2 separate regions of the Mus musculus genome follow, and region 2 is reported to be linked to region 1. The links are microRNA targets in miRTarBase. Many come from high-throughput screens and were not tested one by one. Region 1 holds a microRNA gene; the other region holds the end of a gene's coding sequence.
What was found. Region 1 holds the annotated microRNA mmu-miR-743b-3p (GAAAGACAUCAUGCUGAAUAGA, at 1,935-1,956, opposite strand). A microRNA usually pairs through its seed, bases 2 to 8, with sites in the 3' UTR of a target mRNA and lowers its output. Matches are read on the target gene's strand: a 7mer-m8 pairs with bases 2 to 8, a 7mer-A1 pairs with bases 2 to 7 and ends in A, and an 8mer does both.

Region 2: miRTarBase lists Slc5a3 as a target of mmu-miR-743b-3p. Seed matches in the 3' UTR shown: 7mer-m8 at 2,363-2,369.

The regions. Positions count from the first base shown.
Region 1 is chrX:66,775,332-66,779,399 of GRCm38, forward strand. It overlaps Mir743b (microRNA 743b), which reads right to left and starts at 2,001; the gene lies at 1,925-2,001. Mir743 (microRNA 743) reads right to left here and starts at 1,487; the gene lies at 1,426-1,487. It also overlaps the pseudogene Gm14681.
Region 2 is chr16:92,078,573-92,082,640 of GRCm38, reverse strand. It overlaps Slc5a3 (solute carrier family 5 (inositol transporters), member 3), which reads right to left. Exons shown (of 2, transcript NM_017391.3): 2 at 1-4,068. The coding sequence ends at 3,428. The region is part of intron 1 of Mrps6 (mitochondrial ribosomal protein S6); the gene reads right to left. Among named protein-coding and RNA genes, the nearest start is that of Mrps6, 22 kb to the right of the region's middle.

The DNA.
Region 1 (4,068 bases):
TGTGACAGAATACACAGGACCTGAACAAGTTCAAACCAAACATGTTCCCATGAGTGAGCATGGAAAATGGATATGAATTCCCATCATTAACTAATAAATTATTTCCAATTGACAGCTACTTACAAAGAAAAATTGTTTTCTTCAATTTCATCTCACTGGGTATAGTAACCACATTTAATTGTAGGCTCTATGCCAAGAATTATACAGCCAACACAATATGAACTCAATTATATTTTGTAGGTATTCTCTGTCTCTCCTCTCTCTCTCTCTCTCTCTCTCTCTCTCTCTCTCTCTCTCTCTCTCTCTTTATGTGTATAATGTGTTTCTTGGGCATTTTAAATTATTCTTTATTCACTCATTTATCTTGCTGATTTTTCTAAAGGAAGATAAAGAAATCTGGTAGTGAAGGTGGGGAGGATCTCAGAGAAGATGGGGGATGTGAAATTGTGGTCAGGATATATCTTAAACATTTTCAGAAAAAAAGAAACAAAACAAATGTAGAAGTGCTGACTCTATCAACTCTATAACCTCTAATAATATTCATCACTTGTACAAGTTATGACATCAGGAAGGATGCCTGAACCCTGAACACACCTAGGGAATGCAAAACTCATTATACATCACCTTGCATATATAATTTGACATCTTCTTCCTGCATTCCAATAAGATGAATAACTCTGAGTACCAATAACTGATCATCACTCTCAGCTTAATACCCTTTCCTTCATTCTTGCCAGACCACGTGCCAAACTTAGGGCCTCAAGCATACAATCTAATTATTCTAAAGACTGTGCTTTAGGCTCTTAAAAGTATGTTTTTTAGCACATAAATAAATTGAATTTTCCTTCTGTATTTTATCGGACCTATGTGAATTTTTGAATAACAACAACAACAAAAAGCATGAAGGTGACAACAACACCATTAAAAACCCTGAAGGTGTCCTAGGGCCCAGAAAAGTCAAAGAACACCATAATCAGAAATGCTAGGATATTTGTACTTATACAAAAATCACTATGCTAAAAGTAATGAGACAGCTTGTTAGACTTATTCTACTCACACAGAAGAACTGGTTAACAGTTTAAGCAAATATGGCTCTGTATAGAATTTTAGCATGTAGGGCGGGCCTCAATCATGTCCTAATAGTATCCTATTTATCAATCTGCCTTAATGAGTATAAAACCTTAACATATATCATATTTATTCCTATCTTAGGGAATATTCCTTGTACATAACATACTATGTCCTACTATATGGTTGACTGCCAAACTTTGTGTTAATTCTCCAATCTATATGCGGCTATAAAGTTAACACTGGGAATCAAAATTGTACTTAGGTAACAGATTAGGACTGGTTACATTTTGTGTAACTACAGATAAAACACCCTGACCACATAATACCACCTGCAATGAAGAACACAATAAGCCCTACTCTACTCAGCTTGGTGTCTTTCATTCTTATAAACATGACAGGCACCAATCTGAATACAGCACTGCATACAAGAACTTTAATGAGAATGCTCTGCCCCAGATCCTTCATCTACATGTCACACAAATCATTCTGCCCCACTCAACATGAAAACTCACTTCTGTTTATATGTATATATTAGAAAACATTCCTACAGTAGGCTATGAGTTTCTAGTTCTTCACTGTATACTATGTCCTGGTCTCTATTTACAGTGTTGATTCTCAAATCTACATAGATAAAAGATGTATCATTTGTTGATTGTGGGTTTAGTTTCTTCTAAGTATTTTTTTCTTTAACCTACATGTTATAATTGTGTAAAAATTGAACATCTAAAATTATACTCTGGATAAATATGGATCCTGAGGGTTACATATGACTAATTACAATGAGGGATTCATGTCAAGTGTAACTGCACTGCACCACTCTGACCAATTAAGGCATAATAAATGAAGAATATCATGGGCCTTACTCTATTCAGCATGATGTCTTTCACAAATATTTCACATGATGGACACCAGTCTGAACACAGCACTGCACACAACATACTGCCCTCTCCCACTCCTATTTCAGTGTCCTGGACAAAAAGTTAAGTACTAGTTGCATGCTTTGCATCAGTATGACTGATGCTTCATCTTTTTTTCTCTACCATGTAGTAATAACCATCATATTTGAGGATCCTGTCTAAATTCACCTTGAGGATGTATGCTGTGAAGATAAATACAGTATATACTAGTTTTCATGAGCCTTCATCAATTCTTGTAGTCTAGTGTGATAGGTGAACACTAGATTTCTTTATTCACAGGTCCAGGAAATGACAAAATCCTTCACCTTTCATTTCTCCTTCTGAATGTTGTGATCCCAATTTTTTATCTCATTTTGCTGATATTAAATATCCATTAATAATAAACATATTACTTTTATAATTGCACTCTCTGACCATTTTGAGGCATGTGTACAACCTTAAGCACCTTTTAAGTCTAAAAAAGTGGGGCTTTAAATGAGAAATGATGAAAATGGTAGCAATCTCAAGGATGCCTTTGAAGACGAAGTATAAGGTCCAGGGTATACAAAGTAAGGAGCTTGTTGAACATTACTCACTCTGAGAGACCATGTGTACACGCACTTAAGTCTCACTGACATTAATGTGTATAGGGATTGACACTAAAAAGCTTTCAGGAGAAATAGTACTCAGCAGAGAAGAGCCCACCAACTGCTTTTCCATGGTCAGCACTGAAATAACATACATAAAACTTTCAAAATATGGACTAAGCAGGGCATGAATGAGAGAGAGAACAAAGGGGTTAGTTGATTAGAGTGGCTGAAGGGAAGAAACGAAAGGGGAGAATTATAAAATATTTTAATTTAAAAAGCACTTAAAAATTAAAATGAAACTAAACTTATTTTCCATAGTGCTATGTCCCTAATTTTAAATATTTTCACCTATGAGAAATAGGAATTAGATGAAAGGTTCCCCCTATATCTTCACCTAAACAATGTCCTGTGAAGGTAGCTACAATCGATCTTAGAATCAGAAAATACTCTTGCATGTGCATCTATGTTCTTACATTTACAATGACAGTACTTTATGAGTATCCTTATATTGAGAGAGATACCCCAAACTGTTTAAACTGTTTAAACCCTTTTCTTAAAGAGACTTCCTCCACTGCCAGAGATCTTGAATAGCCTCCTGGTCAGTCATCCGGAAACAATTCTTCACATAATTAATGAACTTGGCTTCCACTTTGGGAAGAGAACCGCCTTTTTCTATACTTGCTTGCATTTTTGCCTTAATGTCTTCTACAGAACTAGGTCCTTTTGGTGTTTTAGGAGTCTTTTCCTGTTTTTTGAAGGACTCTTGACCCTTTGATCTCGGTGTTGACGGTTTTAAGTCTTTTCCATTTTGGTTTGATTTTTGTGCATTTTTGGCTGGGGTATCTCGTACAGATTTCTTCACTGGGACCTTTTCTTCAGTTTCCTCTTCATCAAAATCATCATCATCATCATCCTCATCATCCTCATCATCGTCCTCATCATCTTCATCAAGTTTTACTTTTTTCTGTATCCTTATATTGAGAGAGGTTAGTAGAAAGTGACTGGTATCTGTCCTATATCACAATGCACACACCAAAATGAATGGAGACATATCATCTCATCTGACTCTTGCATTACCAAGAAGTTTCAGGAGTCCTTAACTCAAGTTCTTAGGGAATATATATACTCTCCTTCACTTTCTATCTCTACCACTTCTGGATCAGAGAGATAAAAGTCCTTTAACTTTATTTAATTACTGGGAAGGAAATTATTTTTTTTTTCTTTAGATTATCTTCTTTCTTTACATTCTCTATTTTGAAAGTACCCATGAGGTGAAACATGGATAGTCTACACTATGTTGAAAAAGTAAGGATATGGGGCAACAAAGACTCAAACCGTTTCTGTGTTTAGTCTTTCATTAACACAGTGTACCTCATTTTCTTTTTATGAAAGCATAATTCTTAATTTTAGCACCTTGTTCTCCTTTTCCTTACCTAACATAGATGCTTGAATGCTGTCCCATGAAAGTGATTAAAAAGATACACACAATTGTATAGTAAGGCTTTGTGATC
Region 2 (4,068 bases), not on the chromosome of region 1:
CATCTTAGTATATCAGCCAAATTAGACCTAATTCTTTACTGAGTAATGACAAAGCATACTTATGTGGTGGAAAATAAGGCTCATCTGTAGATTACACTAAATGGTATTTGGAGATGAGAAGACCATGCACCCGGAATAAAAAAGACTCCTGATGTAGGAATTGAAGGATTCATAGCGACCCTGAAGAAGGCTTTTAACCTCACTCAGAGAACTCATAACTCCACTGACCTGTTCTTAAATGGGAAGTTTCACAAAGCATCTCTGACCACTTATGGTGACACCCGTAAGAGTCACGGATAGACTACCCAGGTCAGCCTCTCTGTGCAAGAGTGGATCCTTCGAGCTGGTGAAAGGAAGCCCTGGGGATGAGATCGCTCAATCTGAGTCAAAGGCAGCTGCTACTGCCTGATGCTTCTCTATAAACAAAAGCAATCACTTCCTAGAACAACAGCAGCCCAGTTGTTTACTCTTAGGATGGCAGGACACAATCTTCTGAGAGAAAGAGAAACCCCACAGAAGAGCCATCAATCATTGTCCCAGCCACTGGCGCAAAGCAAAATTAAAAATAAAATAAAATTAAATTAAATTAAAAAGCCCTTTCTGGATCCAAGCAAGAACTGCCTGGGAAGACAATCATCTAGAAGCTTGGCTATCACTCAGAGGATAACTACTTCTCACCTACCTCTGTAGACCAACAGCCTCACCTACCTCACGTTTACTTTTAATCACTATTTTAGTCAATGTAATCTTGGTCAATTCCAAAGCTTAGCTTGGACAAACACAAAAACACATGTGTAAATGTCTACAGATCCATGCCATCTTTTAGGACTCATATGCATGTGAAGGATGAACATTTTGCTAGTCTAAAATCAGGTATCATTCCAAGAACAACCACTGTAATGACCTATAAAGGCTGGTCCTTGAAATGAGGCTGCCATCACACACGTATTCAAGCACAGTATCTATTACTGGAAAGCAGTAAGGAAGACAAGCTTTAGAAACTTCAGACTAAATAAAGTGATGTTCGCAGTGGTAAGAATACACATCTAATGCATATGCTAAGCTATTCCTTATTTATTAGCTCTCTACACTTGACCTACAGCTATTTACACACAGATAGACACATTACGGTATACATTATGTATCTTACTATAAGTCAACAAAAAGGGGGTAAGAGGACTCTAGCATTCCAAATTATTAGGACTCAGCACTAAATAAAAGGGAGAAATTCACATAATACCTCCTATTCACTATGCTATACATACAAGGATGAGGAAGCCCACTTGGCCAATGTGTCAATGTCTGCTAACTTGCATAGGAATGTGTTCAAAGGAAATGTTAATTCCTACAACTTAATCCAAATTTGGACAACCCAATATTCTGTAACTTTCTCAAAGACTGAAAGATTATCTCAAAAAGAATTGTTTAAGAGAAGACAGCCACAAAGCACAGCTATCCATCCAAACACATGGGCAAACTCTGAGTCCACATTTGGAGAACTAACTCAACTTTCCACTCAAGAAAAGGATGGCCCCTATCTACTTGGCTCCAGGTTATAAATCTCAAAATAGAAACTAAGAGAAAAATTGTACAAGGCACTCTAAGTTCTTCAGAAATGCATGCTATTCATACAGAGATGACTTTTTCAATTTCCAGACTCAGTCCCTCAGAAACCCTCCAGAAGATAGGAAGACTGTGTGTGACAATCTGTGATCCCTAACAGCACTGGACTCATGACGTCCATCGCCTGCAAACAAGTCGATGCATTACAAAAAAAAAAAAAAAAAAAAAAAAAAAACTAAGGAAAGGTATTGTTTTGTTTTGGTTATCAGGACTGAGTTTGATTGAAAAGCTATAAAATGATCTATAAAAGTAGTAATTCTCCTTAAGTACAAGGCTTAATAAAAGTCATGCAATTTAAAAAGTTATCGGCCTAAAGAAAGTAGATACAGAATTCGCTTTCTTCATCTCTAATGGAGAAGAGGCAGTGATGAAGACATAGGACTACACACACCATCCCTAGGATTTTTCTCGAATTCCTCCTGCACTATCTTCAATAAGGAGAAACAGCCTACAAAAAAAGATCTGCTGCCCATGAATGTGGCAGTTGGATACCAAGCTAAGCTAAGGTCAATATCAAGAGTCCTCCACAAGTGTGATATCCCCCACAAGCACACTGCTAAACCCTAAAGTCCCTGTTCGTGGCAACCGAGGAACATGCTGGCCATCCTACAGAAAATCTACTCTCATCAACAGTAAGACTGCCGAGTGTTCTATGACTGACAGCCACTTCGTAATGAAACATACTCATGTGCTAACTGACTATAACAGCATAGATGTATATACACAGCAAGCCTTCAAAAAAGACAGAAATAAGGAAGAGAACTTATAAGGAATGGAATTAGACTGTTCCTCTAAAACTTAACAACGTTTCACAAACTAAGCAAGTGCCAACCCCGGCACACAAGTAGTGTTGACGCTCCTCCACGATACTGAACATCTTACAATAGGACCCATTTGGGAAGGCATTTGGCAAATAAGGAATGTTAGTAAAATGACAAAGAAGCAGCTAGAAAGCAGGTAAAAAAAAAAATGATTCATCATCTACTTAGCATTAAATATCAGTCATTGCCTGGTAGCTGATAATTCTCAAACTATATTTTAAAATATTCTTATCTGATCAATAAATGTGGGGATCATCAGCAGTATTTACTTCCCCCCTAATTAAAAGCAAAATTATAGACAGACTTGGTAGTCCGTGGAGTATGATTCAGTTTAAGTAGGAAAAAAGAGAGGGAAGAGATGGAAACCAAGTCTGCTCCCCACGGCTGCTGACATTTCCATACAAGCTGTAGTACAAAAGGACCTGCAGGAAAACGCTCTTCCTTTCTCTTGGCAAGCAGAATCCGTAGACTCGTGCTAATGACCAGCCACACACACAAAGTTGTCCTCAAGTCATTAGTACACAACACATTAGACTTTCAGGACCTAACTAATCATACAGTCTCTACAAATTCATTTTTTAACTGTAGCAGGGATTAGAGACAAAAGCCTTTATAAATGAGCAAATTTCCTTCAGCAGAGGGTCTACCAAGCCTTGGCAATGTAGACAAGACACTTTACTCACGATACCTTAGCACATGTTCTGTCCTAAGTGATACATGAGAATAATTGGTCTCTCCTTACTTTGGTACAGAAAACTCTCAAACCACATTTTTTGCACAATTCACTCTGCTCTGTTTCATGTAAGTTGAAGATTTACGTTTTCCCCATCTCTGGGAAAACAGTCTTACAAATAGATGATTTTTCTGCTAAGGAGAATTTGGCTAAAACCTTCAGCGTAAACAATGCCTGGGAGGTGCGACAGTTACATTTTTGTTTTCAAAGACCAGTATTTTCTCTTAAGTGTCTCACCGTATCCTTAAGTTCATAAGGAGAAATAAACAAACATGAAAATTCCAAGTGAACACACAGCAAAAAGTCCAATGTTTAGGATCACTTTAACTTGTGGAGTCTCTTCTAACATTTGTAAACACACAGCCTCCTCATCCATCAAGTCTCTGAGGCTCCTCTTGCTAAGGCTTTTACTCTTAAAGCCACAAAACCAGTCTATGAACTTCCAATACCGGCTTCTATTTTCCGTTTCCTTCTCTCTTTCTCTCTCACCCATGAGAGCTGCTTGCCCATTGGAATAAGCATCTACTGGTGTTTCTGCCTCTGAATGACCCATGGAAGCCACTGGGTTGCCCTCTTCTCGGCATGTCACCAGCAGATTAACGTCTTCAGGTTGCAGTCCCTTAATGCTGTCTTCAGACTTCCCGTTGGGAATAGTATGGCTGATGACTTCGCTATTCTCGCTGCACTGCAGGATGCTCTTCTCTTGCATTTTGTATGGTTCGTCTTTCTGAGAACAGCTCTCCTTTGTCACCAGGGTCTTCTTTGACCAAAAGGTAGTGGTACGAATCTGATCCTTTGTGGGAGGTGGTGTGAGAAGACTAACAATCACAGTAATGAGTCCTGTGATCCAAAATAATGCCGTAGCCACGTACATATAATGGATGTCTTTGA